Linked DNA regions of Canis lupus familiaris. The protein of the gene in region 3 interacts with the protein of the main gene of each other region in a pairwise test. Links are inferred from orthologs where the notes say so. Each region holds a gene or a part of one and is shown on either strand. Other genes may lie near its edges. The genes, in order: MGAT5B, ZBTB32 and PITX1.

Region 1 (3,236 bases), on a different chromosome or scaffold from region 3:
TTGGCAGCCCAGTGGTTCGCGTCGGATGCTCAGCAGAGGCACCCAGAGGGGAGCTCTTTAAACAGCGGAGGCCAGCCCCTGCGCGGAGATGGTTTCATGGGTCTGGGGGCGGCCTGGATGCGGGATGGCCCACCTCCCTGGGTGATTCCCAAGGCTGTGAGGGGCTTCATCACACCAGTTCCACCACCTGTAAGCGGGCAGGATGACGTCACCTTGCAGGGTGGGGGGAGGTGGGCCTGGGCCTGTATTGCCTCTGATGTTCGGTGGTGGGTGGGCGGCAGCTCGCTGAAGGGGGGGGCCCGGCGCCGTCCAGTGGGGGAGGGCTGAGAACCCACAGCCTTCCTGGGGTCCGCTTCTTCTCTTCCTACCAGCCGGTGCCCCCACACCCTCCGCCTCCACCCCACCTGAGTTCAAAGCCTGCCAGGATCCAGAAGTAGGCTCCTACACAAAGAACTCTTAAAACCCAACAGTAAGCGACACCTGGGTGGCTTCTGCCTTCGGCTCAGGGCATGATCCTGGGGTCCTGGGATCGAGTCCCACATCGGGCTCCTTGCATGGAGCGTGTTCCTCCCTCTGCCTGTGTCTCTGCCTCTCTCTCTGGGTGTCTCTCATAAATATATAAATAAAATATTTTAAAAAATAATAATGGGAATATAACAGTACCTACCTGATGAGACAGCTGAACAACAAAAAATGACAAATTGTGTGGCCAACACTCTGCCCCGTGTCTGAAGGACGGCAAAGACCCAGTAAGCGTTAGCTAGTATTTCTCATGATCTGCCTCAGGCTCTTATCAAAATACATGTTTACTCTCTGACCTCCCAGAGGCCAGGCCGAGGTGAACAGAGCCGGGTGCAGAGTCTCAGTGCGGCGCAGCCTGACCCAGAGAGCGCCAGCTCTGGGGCCCCAAGCACCCTGTGTGCAGCAAGTGACAAGGGGCAGCAGGGGCCTGGGGCCCCAACATAGCCAGGCCCTCGCCCTGGGCATCCCAGGAAAAGACGAGAAACAGCACGCTCCTCCTCTGCACCTCACATCCCAATAAAATATTTATTATTTCAAGAAATAAATCTTTAAAAAAAGAGAGAGAGAGAAAAGAGTGTCTCTATTGCTTGCCCCCGACAGGTCAGGTCCCTGGTGGCCATGGAGCTCCTGTGGCCACAGGGGGGCGGTCTTGGATGGGCTCCCCCCCTCTCCCAGCTCTCAGGGCTCCCGGCAGGGTGGAGGGGCAGGCCTGGGTGGGGGCGGGAGGTGGGATTATAAAACGGGGGTGGGGTGGCAGTGTCTCTGAAGGCCCCACCGGCTTAACCAGGCAGGGCTCCGGGCAGGGGGAGGAGGGGAAGGGAACATCATGGGGCAGGGGCAGGCATGCCACACAGAGATGATGGGTGGGTCCAGAGGTGGTTTGAGGCTGGAGGAAGCTTGAGGCAAAGGACGGGCAGCATCGGAGGGGGGACTACCTGGGGGCAAGCAGGCCTGGGAAGCCAGGAGCTGGGCTGGGCATGCCACGAGGCTGAAGCTCCATCCCAAGCCTTTGCCTACAAGAGACGCTGGAGGGGAGGGGGTGTGCGGGTTCCCAAGCCTGCTGGGGTGGGGACAGAGGCTCTGGGGACAAATCCACGGCCTGGAATTGCAGTCATGCCAGGATGAGTTTCGGGAGAAGCCCAAAGTGGAGAGAGCTGGAGCAAGCAGGAGACAGAAAGAGTTCAACCCAGGGGGCTAGGTGGTCCCCACACTCTCGCTGTGCTCCCCAATATAGGACGGAGGGGGATTTTGCAAAGGCGGGGGGGGGCTGAGAGGAGGCAGGAACAGGGTACCCCGCCTGGCCTTCCCCCACTCCCTGGTCCTTTTGGTCCACGCCCCAAACAACCATAGAGGGATGAGGCTGACCCCTCACACGTCACTGCCCTCTCCCCAGACCCTTGGTGGGGGCGGGGGCGGGCGGGCACTGCCCCTGCTCCCTCCTCGTACATTCTGGAGCCCCATCCTGGGCCTACGAAGGGCCAGGGCGTCAGTCTGGTCCAGAACTCGGCTGGCACGGAAGCAAGGGGCCTCCGAGCACCTGCTCCTGCCGGGGCGGCCCTCTGACGGGTCCCACAGCCGCTTGGCCACGACGCTGCCACGAGCCCCGGGAGGAGGTCGAGGAGCCCGGCCGGGTGGGCGAAGGCCCGTAGCCCTGGGCCCGTGCCCTGTGCGAGTATCTGCTCTGCCCGCTTCCTGGCCAAGGAAGGAAGCTCCAGCGTGGGAGGAGTCGAGGGGAGGGCAGGGCGCTGGAGGTCAGAATCTGCTGGTGCTTTCTCCGCGGCAGGGAGGGCCGGACGGGTGGGTGCCCTCACAGACAGTCCTGGCACAGGGCCACTTGGCCCTTGCGGAAGTCTCGGCAGGGACAGAGCCGGTGGTACTTGGTGCTGGAGCCCGCGCAGCTGAAGAGCAGGGGCTCCTTCTGCAGGAAGCACTCGCGGCCGGGCTGGGCGAAGGCCGGGTACAGGTGGTTCATCTCCGACTCCGTGCTGTCACAGGGCACCCGCAGCCTGGACGGGCACCGCGGGCGGCGGTCACGGCCCCAGCCCGGCCCCGCCCGGCCCCAACCAGGGAAGATGATTCTAGGGGACAGCAGGACAAACCCCGGGCCGCATCCCCGCTGGGGGAGAGGGGGACGGGGGGTGGCTGGGCTGGGAGGAACCCTGGGCCGCTTTCCTGGCCTGGACCTAGGAGATGCCCAGACAGGCTCGACAGAGGCTGGGGGGGGGGGGGGGGGGGGGGCGGGGAGGGACTGGCAGCGGCTCCTGTGCTGGTGGTTTGGGGCCGAAGCTTCACCACGGTGCGGGGTGGGGGGGTGGGGGGGCACCCGTGACATGGACACCTGTCCGTGGTCCCTACTGGGTTCTTCCTGACTCGCAGGAGAGCATCAGCCCCCCTCCACCCGTTGGCAGGGCGGTGACGGGGCAGTTACGGGGCGAGGAGCTGCAGGGGAGCAAGGCTGGGTCAGCCCAGGAGGTGGGCGGGCGGGCGGGGGGCTCACTTACTTCTGGAAGGCGTCCTGGCTGTTGAGGAAGGGGAAGAAGGACGGCTCGCAAATCAGCCCATGGTCCAGGCAGGCGTCGGTGCAGGCCCTCCCGGCGGTGGCCAGCCAGGCCCGGAGGGAGTGTGCTGGGGGCCAGGCCCCGGGGGCCACGCTGGCATTCTGGGCCCACTCCAGGTGGGTGGCATTGGGGGCCAGGACGAAGGGGCTCTGTGGG
Region 2 (4,252 bases), on a different chromosome or scaffold from region 3:
GCATTCAGCAGTGACAGCAGAAGTACAAGCAAGTAGCACTTTGACTTGGAAGGGTAGGGACACTGTAACTCTTTTCTATTCCTGAGAAGTCCCCCATCACAGTCTCAAAAACCTTGTCCACCTTCTACTTCCCAGGCTGACTGTAGGAATCACCTGCAGTTGTCTCCTGGGGTGGACTCAGGAAACCATTGATTCTGAGGACACAAACCTGCATCTTGGGAAGGTAGAGTGGATAGGAAAGACTAGATAGGGCATACCTGGAAGAAAGTATGTGGGAAAAAGAGTTGACTTTTGCCCCTCATTCCTAATACTCATATTACTGAATAAAGTTTAATGTCTGGTATTTTTTATTCTCATAGGCTTGACCAGAGCTCCTTCATATGCCCCTGCAGGTACAACTCAGCTTGATATAAAAATGTCAACGCAGCAATACAATTATGGATTCTCCTTAAATATAATTAAAACTAAGCCACAGAATAGGCTGATTAGCGGGGTGATTATTTGTTTTATGACAAATGTTCTCCCTTTATCTCACTTATTTCAGATACTACTTCCAAAGTCAAGTTTAAAAAGATTCAATTTAGAAAAATTATATGAACTTTCCACTTTTTTCAGGAATGCATCTCTTTCTTCAAATCAAAGTGGTTAAAGTCCCCACAGCATTTTATAATGCAGATGAAGACCAATTATCCAAATCTTACCTAAACTTTCAAATGCCCACTCTTTCTAGTGAAGTACATCCAACACATACCGATACATACCACGGAGTAAATTAGTTTCTTTCTTCCCCTCAATCTGTATTTCATATAACTTAAGAACCAGTGTAATTATAGCCAGGTGAGCTGCAGCTAGGTCATAGAGACCCTATCATAGCATATCTTTTGTGGATGAAGTGGAAAAAGAACTAGACTAGAAGTAAAACAATTTAGGTTCCACTACATCCTCTCTGTGGGTGGCCTTTCTTTTCAGTCCTAATACGGGGGCTAACTCTTCTAAGATCCTCAATTTCCTCACAGGGACTGCTTTCAAGAGCAATACTGAATGCCAATATTGTGTTAAACCTGCTCTGACCCCCTCTGGCTGTGGTCCCCCCTTGGGCCAAGGATCCCAAGAGCATCGAGGAAGGGCCCACTGGGAACATGTGTCCCCCAGTTCTAGGCCATGCTCTGGGAACTTGGAACCCTGGACTTCCTCACCCAAATGGCCTCCTTCCAGGACAGCCCTCAACCCTGGGTCTATATTCAGGAGGGTGAACTGTGAAACCGATACACACACCCCAGGCCCTAGTTGTGTGTGAGGAACAGGTAGACTGAGCTCAGACATGCAGACTAATCTATGAGATGCCTTGAAATGTGCACCAACACCAGGTGTGGGAAGAAAAGGGGAAATTTTCATTTTTAGTCTTGCCTCAGCCCCATGAATAATACAGGAACCAGCTTTATTCCAATGGCTCTTAACATAGGTTAAGGGGATCACCATCCCTTTTAAAATTGTAAGCCACAGAATCAACTCTTTACATCAGAAAATTGTGGATACTCATACAAGGGATTCACAGGCTGGAGTCAGTCCTTGGACAGGTTAGATACTCCTTGTTTATCCTTGTGGCTGCTTTGCATGCCCCCCCCCCAAATACAACATGCATATAGTTTTTCTTGTGATTTCCAGGAGCTCCAAAACCCTTAAATCCACTCATAGACCACTCCCCCTTGCACCCCCCTACCCAAGGTTTAAGAATTCTGGGTGTACATGAAAACACTCTGAAAGCTTCAATACCACATAGAACTTGTCCAGCTGAGTGAAATTAGATATCAACACCCTGTCCCATAAGAATTAAAAAAAAAAATCTTCCGTAATGACAAGCTGGGTGATTTCCTAAGGAGCAGGAAATCTCACACACCTCTTCCTGTGCTCTAGGACAAGATCCATCTTCCCTATGCATCTGGCTCCATTCTTACAGCCTGGTATCTTCTGAGAATGACCAGGGTTTCAGAAAGAGCAGACCAAAAGGCCCTAATATGACCCAATCCTGGTTTTTTTTAGAGCCACACGGCAATAATATTTCATGGAGGGCAAACAACCTGAGATTCAGAAACTCCCTCCTCAAGAACCTCCAGAAGACCTTGGGCCTAACCTCCTGGCCAAGTTGTCTATCCTGGACCTGATAGTGGAAAATCTGCACCTCAACCTAGAGTCCAGCGACCCCCAAAACCTTGCAGCTGCATGTTCTTAGCACAGCCTGGGTGCAATGGCTGTTGACAACTGCCCATTGGACTTCCAATCTCGACAACTCTCTCAGCCCAGGCTGGATCCAAAGACCCCAGAAAATCTCCCAAGAGCACACTAGTTTCATCTTTTGGCCAGTAATGCCCCGCCCCCCCCCCCCCCCATAACCTCTGGAGAGTCACAGGCCTCCCCTTCCAGTCACCACATCCAGACTCAGGCCAGAGACCTCAGGCAACCTGTCACCGATCAGAGGCCATACCTCACCGCCAACGAAGCCACGCAGAGCTCCAAGGGCCTCCCACGGCCACACAATACACTTCCAAATCAAGTCAGCCTCAGGGACTGTGGACCAACCCAGGGCATGTTGGCCTCTGCCCCAGCCCGGGTCCAAAGGTGCCTGCCCAGGAGGCCCCACTGCCATCCTTGCCAGGAAAAGGGAGTCCCCGGGGACTAGAGTCCTCAACTCTCGCTTCTCAACCCTCACGACGACCGCTCCGGCCCTCCCACCCCAGCTTGGCTTGGGCCAGTCCCAGGCCTGAAGAAGCGTAAGAGAAACCATGGCACTCACCGACTCGGGCCCTGTGCCTCCTCCCACAGTCACATACACCGAGGGCGGCTCTAGCTCGAGTGGCCGTTGGGGAGCGGCGAGTGGGGAGCGGCGCGAGGCCCGGAGCTCGAGGCCCTGCGCGTGCACAGCTCACGGGTCTCGCCTGGTTTCCGCCGCGGACGCCGATTGGCTGCCGCCGGCCGCCTCCTGCTGAGCATGCCCAGCATCCTCGGAGGCACCTCGGACAGCTCCCCGTGCTCCGCCCCCCCGCCCCCGCCCCCGCCCCGCTCCCCCCGCCGATTGGCTGCGGAGCTCCCTCCCGCCCCCCTGGCTCTGCCGAGGGGCGGGGCCTTGAGTCCGATGGGGATGGGTCGGTGGGCTTGGGTTTCAGGTCTCTGAGGCGGAGGTCTCACCCTCCAGCCTGTCCCCTCCCCTGCTGAGCGGCTGCGGAGTTTGCCCCTTCCCACCCTCTCTCTGGAAAGACTTGGCCCGGAACCTCCTTGGCCTCAATAGTCTTGGAAGCTGCCTCCGCAAGGGCTCAGGATTCAACGGCCTTCTTGCTTCTGTCTTGGCACCCTGACGAGCTCTGTTACACACCCTCTCACCTCTCTCTCAACCCCTGACAGTCTATGCAGTGTGTGTCTGTGATTGGTCGGGAGGCCCTCGAGAGTCGGCCAGGCTTCGGGGTGCCTGTGGGCAGCTCCCCTTTCCCGCCTCTTGTCCTGCCCACCACTGATTGGTTGCAGAACGCACCCCGCCTCACCTGGAAGTATGCGGGGACGAGGGAGGCGCAAGAGGGGGCAGTGCCTTGACCCGCGATTGGTCTAGATGCTCGCGCTTCAAATGCTCATTGCCTGTCAGCTGAGCCAGGGATAACTGCGTACTTCACGTACTAGCCACCCCCCCCCCCGCCACACACACACACACACACACACACACACACACACACACACACACGTGGAGAGGATGGCCCATTGCTCCGCCCCGCCATGAACCGGCCAGGGCTAAGAGCTCAGCCAGCTGGCTTCCCATTCATGCCGGGTTTGGTGCGGACAGGCGGCGAGCTCGCGGCGCGCGGGGCAGGGAGCAGCCCCCGAGCCGGGCTGCGGCGGCGCTGCTGATTGGCTGGCCGCTCTCTCTTCCAAGGGCTTTGGGTTCGCGCTCGGACACAACCAATGAGGAGCGAGGGCGCTTTAAGGAGGCGGGCGTTGCTCGACCGCTTCCACTTCTGATTGGCCCAGGGGCTTGCTTGATTGATCCGAAGGCCGGGAGGCGGGAGCCCAGGCCAACGGCTTCAAGCGGCGGTTGGCTTTCGCTCCCTGCGCTTCAAGCGGCTCAGCTCCGGGGCTTGCTGGAGTGTTTTCTGGCGCCCACCACCCCGCAGCTAGCTGAGGAGCTGGAGACGAAGGACGGGCGCTGGGGGACCCTCCAGAGGGGGGCCTGGGACAGCAGGTGCAGACGAAAGTCGGGACGGAGACTGGC
Region 3 (4,252 bases):
GGAACACCCGGAACACCCGGGCCTAAAGCTGAATCCTCCTCTCCGGTGGAGAGTGGTGGGACGGAGACAAAGTCTGAGCGCCGGTCTAAAGCTTTTGGAGGGCTGCGGCAGAGCCGGCCAGGAGCGGTCCGCACGGGTCCCCTTGGGCGCGCACGCTGGGCTCACCCTCACGCGCGGCTCCGTGAGGTTGGTCCACACAGCGATCTCCTCCCGCATGCTCATGTCGGGGTAGCGGTTCCTCTGGAACGTGGCCTCCAGCTCTTGCAACTGCTGGCTTGTGAAGTGCGTGCGTTGCCGCCGTTGCTTCTTTTTCTTGGCGGGGTCCTCCGCGCCACCGCAGCCTGCGCCTCCCGCACCGCTGTCCTCCGGCCCCTTGACTTCCCCGCCGCGCTCCTTCTCTGAATCGGGCAGGACAGGCCCTAGTCACCTTGGGTTTATGCCCTTTCGCACCCCGTCCCGGCTCCACCGAAGCGCCAGCCATCAGCGCTGGCGGCCCTTCCTCCCGCCAGGAACCCTAGTTTTGTTCCCGCTGGAAAGAGCCTGTCGGGTGCCTGATCCTCACTAGTCACCTTTGGTCGGACGGCCCCGAAGAGCCAGGGAACCCGAGGCTCCGGCCTAGGTTCCCCACTGGGCAGGGCCTGCCCTTGCAGCTCGGCTCAGGCTCAAGCCCTACTGCCTATGTCGCCCGCAAATGTATGAAATTTTGAGGGCTTTTAGGCATTTAAATCTGGGGGTGTCTCTGCTCTTCTGAACTGATATCAAATCTGGCTAGCCTGAAGCCAGTGGGTCGGTGGAGCAGGAGCCAGGCGGTAACCTGCAGCCCCTCTACTTTCTTCTCCCCAGGGCTGTGTGGGAGCCACATTGGGCAGGCACAACACAGCTGTGTTCTCAGCCTTAGCTCCAGGCCTCAAGTCCAGAGGCCCAGAAAAGCCCTCAGGCGGCAGCCCAGACCCACACACTCTGTCTAGGTGACCTGGGGCTCTAGCCTCTCGCTCTCTCAGGGTACACAAAACACATTCAGTCATAGACACATTGAAACAAACAAACAAAAAAATTAAAAACAAAATACAGAAGCCCAGATAAACTCAATTCTATCCCAACACCATGGAAAGGCTCACAAACTATTAAAAATAGGCAGGTAGGAACACAGAGCAAATGCAAATTAAGAAGCAAGAAACCTCCGTGCAAACAGACCCCTAACTAAATACAGTGCTGTACGCGTATAAACTCCAGGCAGACGCGGGCATTTATTTCTCCGGGATAAAAAAAAAAACAACTTAATGTACTGTTGTAGATAGATTTTTTTTTAGCCCCTTCCTAATAATGCCCTTCTAGGGATAGTCTTTAAGTCGCAGGGAAATACAACACTATAGTTAGATAAATTACCAAACTAACACTGCTGCAAATGGATTTTGAAAAAAAAAATCCCGGAGAAACGCGCCATTTTGGATTGACTTTTAAAAATCTCCAAGAATAATGCTGCATGTGGATGTTTTAAATTCCAGAGAAATATGCCTCGCGTAGTGATTCTTTCTATATCGAAAAACACAGTTAAAAAATTTAATATATCCTCACGGAGTTGGTTTTAAAAAGCAATCGCTCGCTGTATATTTCTCCAGATTTTAAAAAGTAAAAACCAACCAAAGGCCACGCTTCAAACTTTTGAAAACAAAAGTACAGTCCAGCGTGGATTGCTTTTCTTAGCCAAGCAAACAGAACCTCTCAGAGAAAGTCACTTAGAGATGCAAAACAGAAACAAATAGAGATTAAAAACGCGTAGAGAAACACTCAGCGGTGGATTAAGAAAAAAGCACAGCGGAGGCGCCCACGACCCGGGGAACAGGGCGCCCGGCGGGACGGGGAGCGCGGGATCCGAGCGGGAGACCCGGGGGCGCGAGCGGCCGAGGATCCGCCGCGCCACCGCCCGCACCGCCCACCCGCCGGCCCCGCTCGCGGCCAGCTTGCGGGGGAGCAGCCTGAGTTCGGGGGGCAAAACGGCGGCGCGGAGGGAGACGCGCCCCAGCCGAGCCGGGCCCTGGCCGGGCGGCCTGGCGGCTCCCGGGTCCCTCCACGAGGGGGGCCTGCCCGCCAGCTGAGCCGCACCTCTTGGCCCGCTCGCCCTCGCTGCCCTCTTTTTTTTTACTTGAGGTGGTCCCCCCTTCCCCGCAGTCTGTTTCTCTGACTTTTCCCGCCACCCCTTCTCTTGGATTTCTCCCTCTCCATCCGTGCCCACCGCCTGTCGGGGTGTGTGACCCCGTCTCCCTGCGCAGCGTCTCTCGCCCGCCGCCCCGTTCCTCTCTCCACCTACTGTCCTGCGGTCTGAGCGGCCCCCTGGGCACTCGTTGCGCAAACCGAATTCTTTTTCTTCCGGCTCCGTCTGCTCCCGATCAAGAGGGGCTGTCGGGCCGACCCTCCCGTGGTCGGTGCCTGCATCTGCCGGGGTCTGGGCGCGTGGGCACCGGCTGGGAGCAGAGCACGGAATTCCGTCTCATCAAGCGCGCAGATTTCCGCGCTCCCGGTCCGACGGAGGCCGGGAGAAGAGGTCCCGGAGCTCGCGGGGCTCGGGCAACCTGAGCGTGCGGCGCGGGCGCCAGGCCCCGCTCCCCGCCCCGCGCCGGGCCGAGCCGCGCTTACCTGGCAGCTCCGTGTCGGACGACTCGCTGGCGGAGTTCTCGAGCGGCTCGCGGGGGTCGGCGGCGCGGGCCAGGTGGAAGGCCGGCCCCATGTCGTGCGGCGGCGGCGGCGGCCGGAGCCCCTCCGGCAGCCGCTCCAGGCTCATGCCCCCCTTGAAGGCGTCCATGGAGGCGGGGACCGCGGCGGGCGCTCCCGGGGCCGGGGCCGGGGCCGGGGCCGGGGCCGGGGCCGGGGCCGGGCGCGCCCGGCCGCCCTGGCTGCGACCTGCGGGGACAAGAGCACAGCGCCTAAGCGGCTGCCCCCCAGGGCTGCCCGGGCCCGCAGCGACGCCGCGCCCGCCCCATGGACCGCCCGGGGCTGCGGGGCCGGGCGGGCGGCGGCGGCAGCGGTTTCTCGCGACCGGATCCCCGGCTTCGCGCTCCGCGCTGCGCTCCCGCCGCTCGGGCCTCTGCCGCCCGCCCGGCCCCGGCTCCGGCTCCCGATCCGGGGCCGGTTTCTAAGGCTCCGTACGGCGCCGGCAGAGGCTGTCTTAAAGCGACAGCGCGCACCGCCAGGTTCCAGCAGTCCCTGCGCCAGGGGTGGTGGGTGGGGTGGGCCCGGGTGGGAGGGGGCTGGGGAGGGGGGAGGGAGGGAGGGAAGGAGGGAGGGAGGGAGGGAGGGAGCCGGCGAGCGAGGGAGCGCGGGCGGAATCCGGCCCCGAGCCGCCCGCCCTCCCCCGGCCGTGCCCTCCCCCTCCCCCTCCCGTCCCCTCCCGTCCCCCTCCCCCGCCGCAGCCACCTTCCCGCCGCCTCCCGCCCCCTCCCCCCACCCCCCGCGGCCTCGCCGCGCCGCGCCGCTCCCTCCTTCCCCGTTGACACACCGACTTCTCCCTCGGCCGCACAAAAGAAACGCATCTGGTCTCCAAGTCCCGCGCGGCTCGTGCCCACCTCCAGCCCCAGATGACTTGTTTTGCGCAGAATCAACTCCTGTCTGGGCCGCCTCGAAGTCCTCAGCCCCCGGCGAGAACAGCCCAGGACGAGAGAATGTTCCCGGGGCAGGATCGCACGGAGCGGGCGCCTCCGAGCCAGCGCCAGGGCGGGGGCAGAGCCCGGGGCCCGTTCCGGCAGCTCCCGGCGGCGTCCCCGTCGGGGGGCCGCTGGCCCCTCCTTCCTCGGCCTCTTCTCCCGGGACCTGAGCCCGGCTGAGTGACAGCAGCCTGCGTTCTAATGGGCCCCCGGATGCTGCCTCCTAATTAGCTTGGACCCTGTCGTCCAAGGCTGCTTCTCTGGCCTCCCCCTCTGCACCGCAGTCAATTTTCCGGGATTGGGATTGAACTGATGGCTTCTAATCAGACGAAACGTTTCTGTTGGCTCCAGGCCTCTGGCGAGTGCAGCAGGAGACCCCGAGAGCCCCGCCAGGCCCCACAGCCTCTTCTGCAGGGCTCTCTTCCCTTGTTTTGCACCAGTCCAGCCGAATCAGCCAGGCCCCGGCCTTGGCAGCCAGGGGGTTGGCTTCTGCCCCCTTCAGGGCAGGTTTGTAGCGATCTGGGGCCTCCTCTGGGCTTTCCAGAGCTGCAGGCACCTGGCCTCGCGAGCAGGCCAGGTGCCTGCAGTTTCCCAGCCCGGAGTCCGCAGTCCAG

Evidence for each region.
Region 1: the proteins of PITX1 (region 3) and MGAT5B interact in a two-hybrid assay, tested with the Homo sapiens proteins (2 studies listed by BioGRID). The link is inferred for Canis lupus familiaris from reciprocal best matches to the Homo sapiens genes PITX1 and MGAT5B.
Region 2: the proteins of PITX1 (region 3) and ZBTB32 interact in a two-hybrid assay, tested with the Homo sapiens proteins (2 studies listed by BioGRID). The link is inferred for Canis lupus familiaris from reciprocal best matches to the Homo sapiens genes PITX1 and ZBTB32.

Annotation. Positions count from the first base shown.
Region 1 is NC_049230.1:4,783,491-4,786,726, forward strand, and holds the end of MGAT5B (alpha-1,6-mannosylglycoprotein 6-beta-N-acetylglucosaminyltransferase B), read right to left. Parts: coding exon 3,024-3,236; intron 2,529-3,023; coding exon 2,330-2,528; 3' UTR 1,029-2,329; downstream 1-1,028. UniProt on the Homo sapiens protein: Glycosyltransferase that acts on alpha-linked mannose of N-glycans and O-mannosyl glycans.
Region 2 is NC_049222.1:117,766,318-117,770,569, forward strand, and holds the start of ZBTB32 (zinc finger and BTB domain-containing protein 32), read right to left. Parts: upstream 2,892-4,252; 5' UTR 2,792-2,891; intron 1-2,791. UniProt on the Homo sapiens protein: DNA-binding protein that binds to the to a 5'-TGTACAGTGT-3' core sequence. May function as a transcriptional transactivator and transcriptional repressor. Probably exerts its repressor effect by preventing GATA3 from binding to DNA.
Region 3 is NC_049232.1:23,086,702-23,090,953, forward strand, and holds the start of PITX1 (pituitary homeobox 1), read right to left. Parts: upstream 2,893-4,252; 5' UTR 2,801-2,892; coding exon 2,635-2,800; intron 399-2,634; coding exon 166-398; intron 1-165. UniProt on the Homo sapiens protein: Sequence-specific transcription factor that binds gene promoters and activates their transcription. May play a role in the development of anterior structures, and in particular, the brain and facies and in specifying the identity or structure of hindlimb.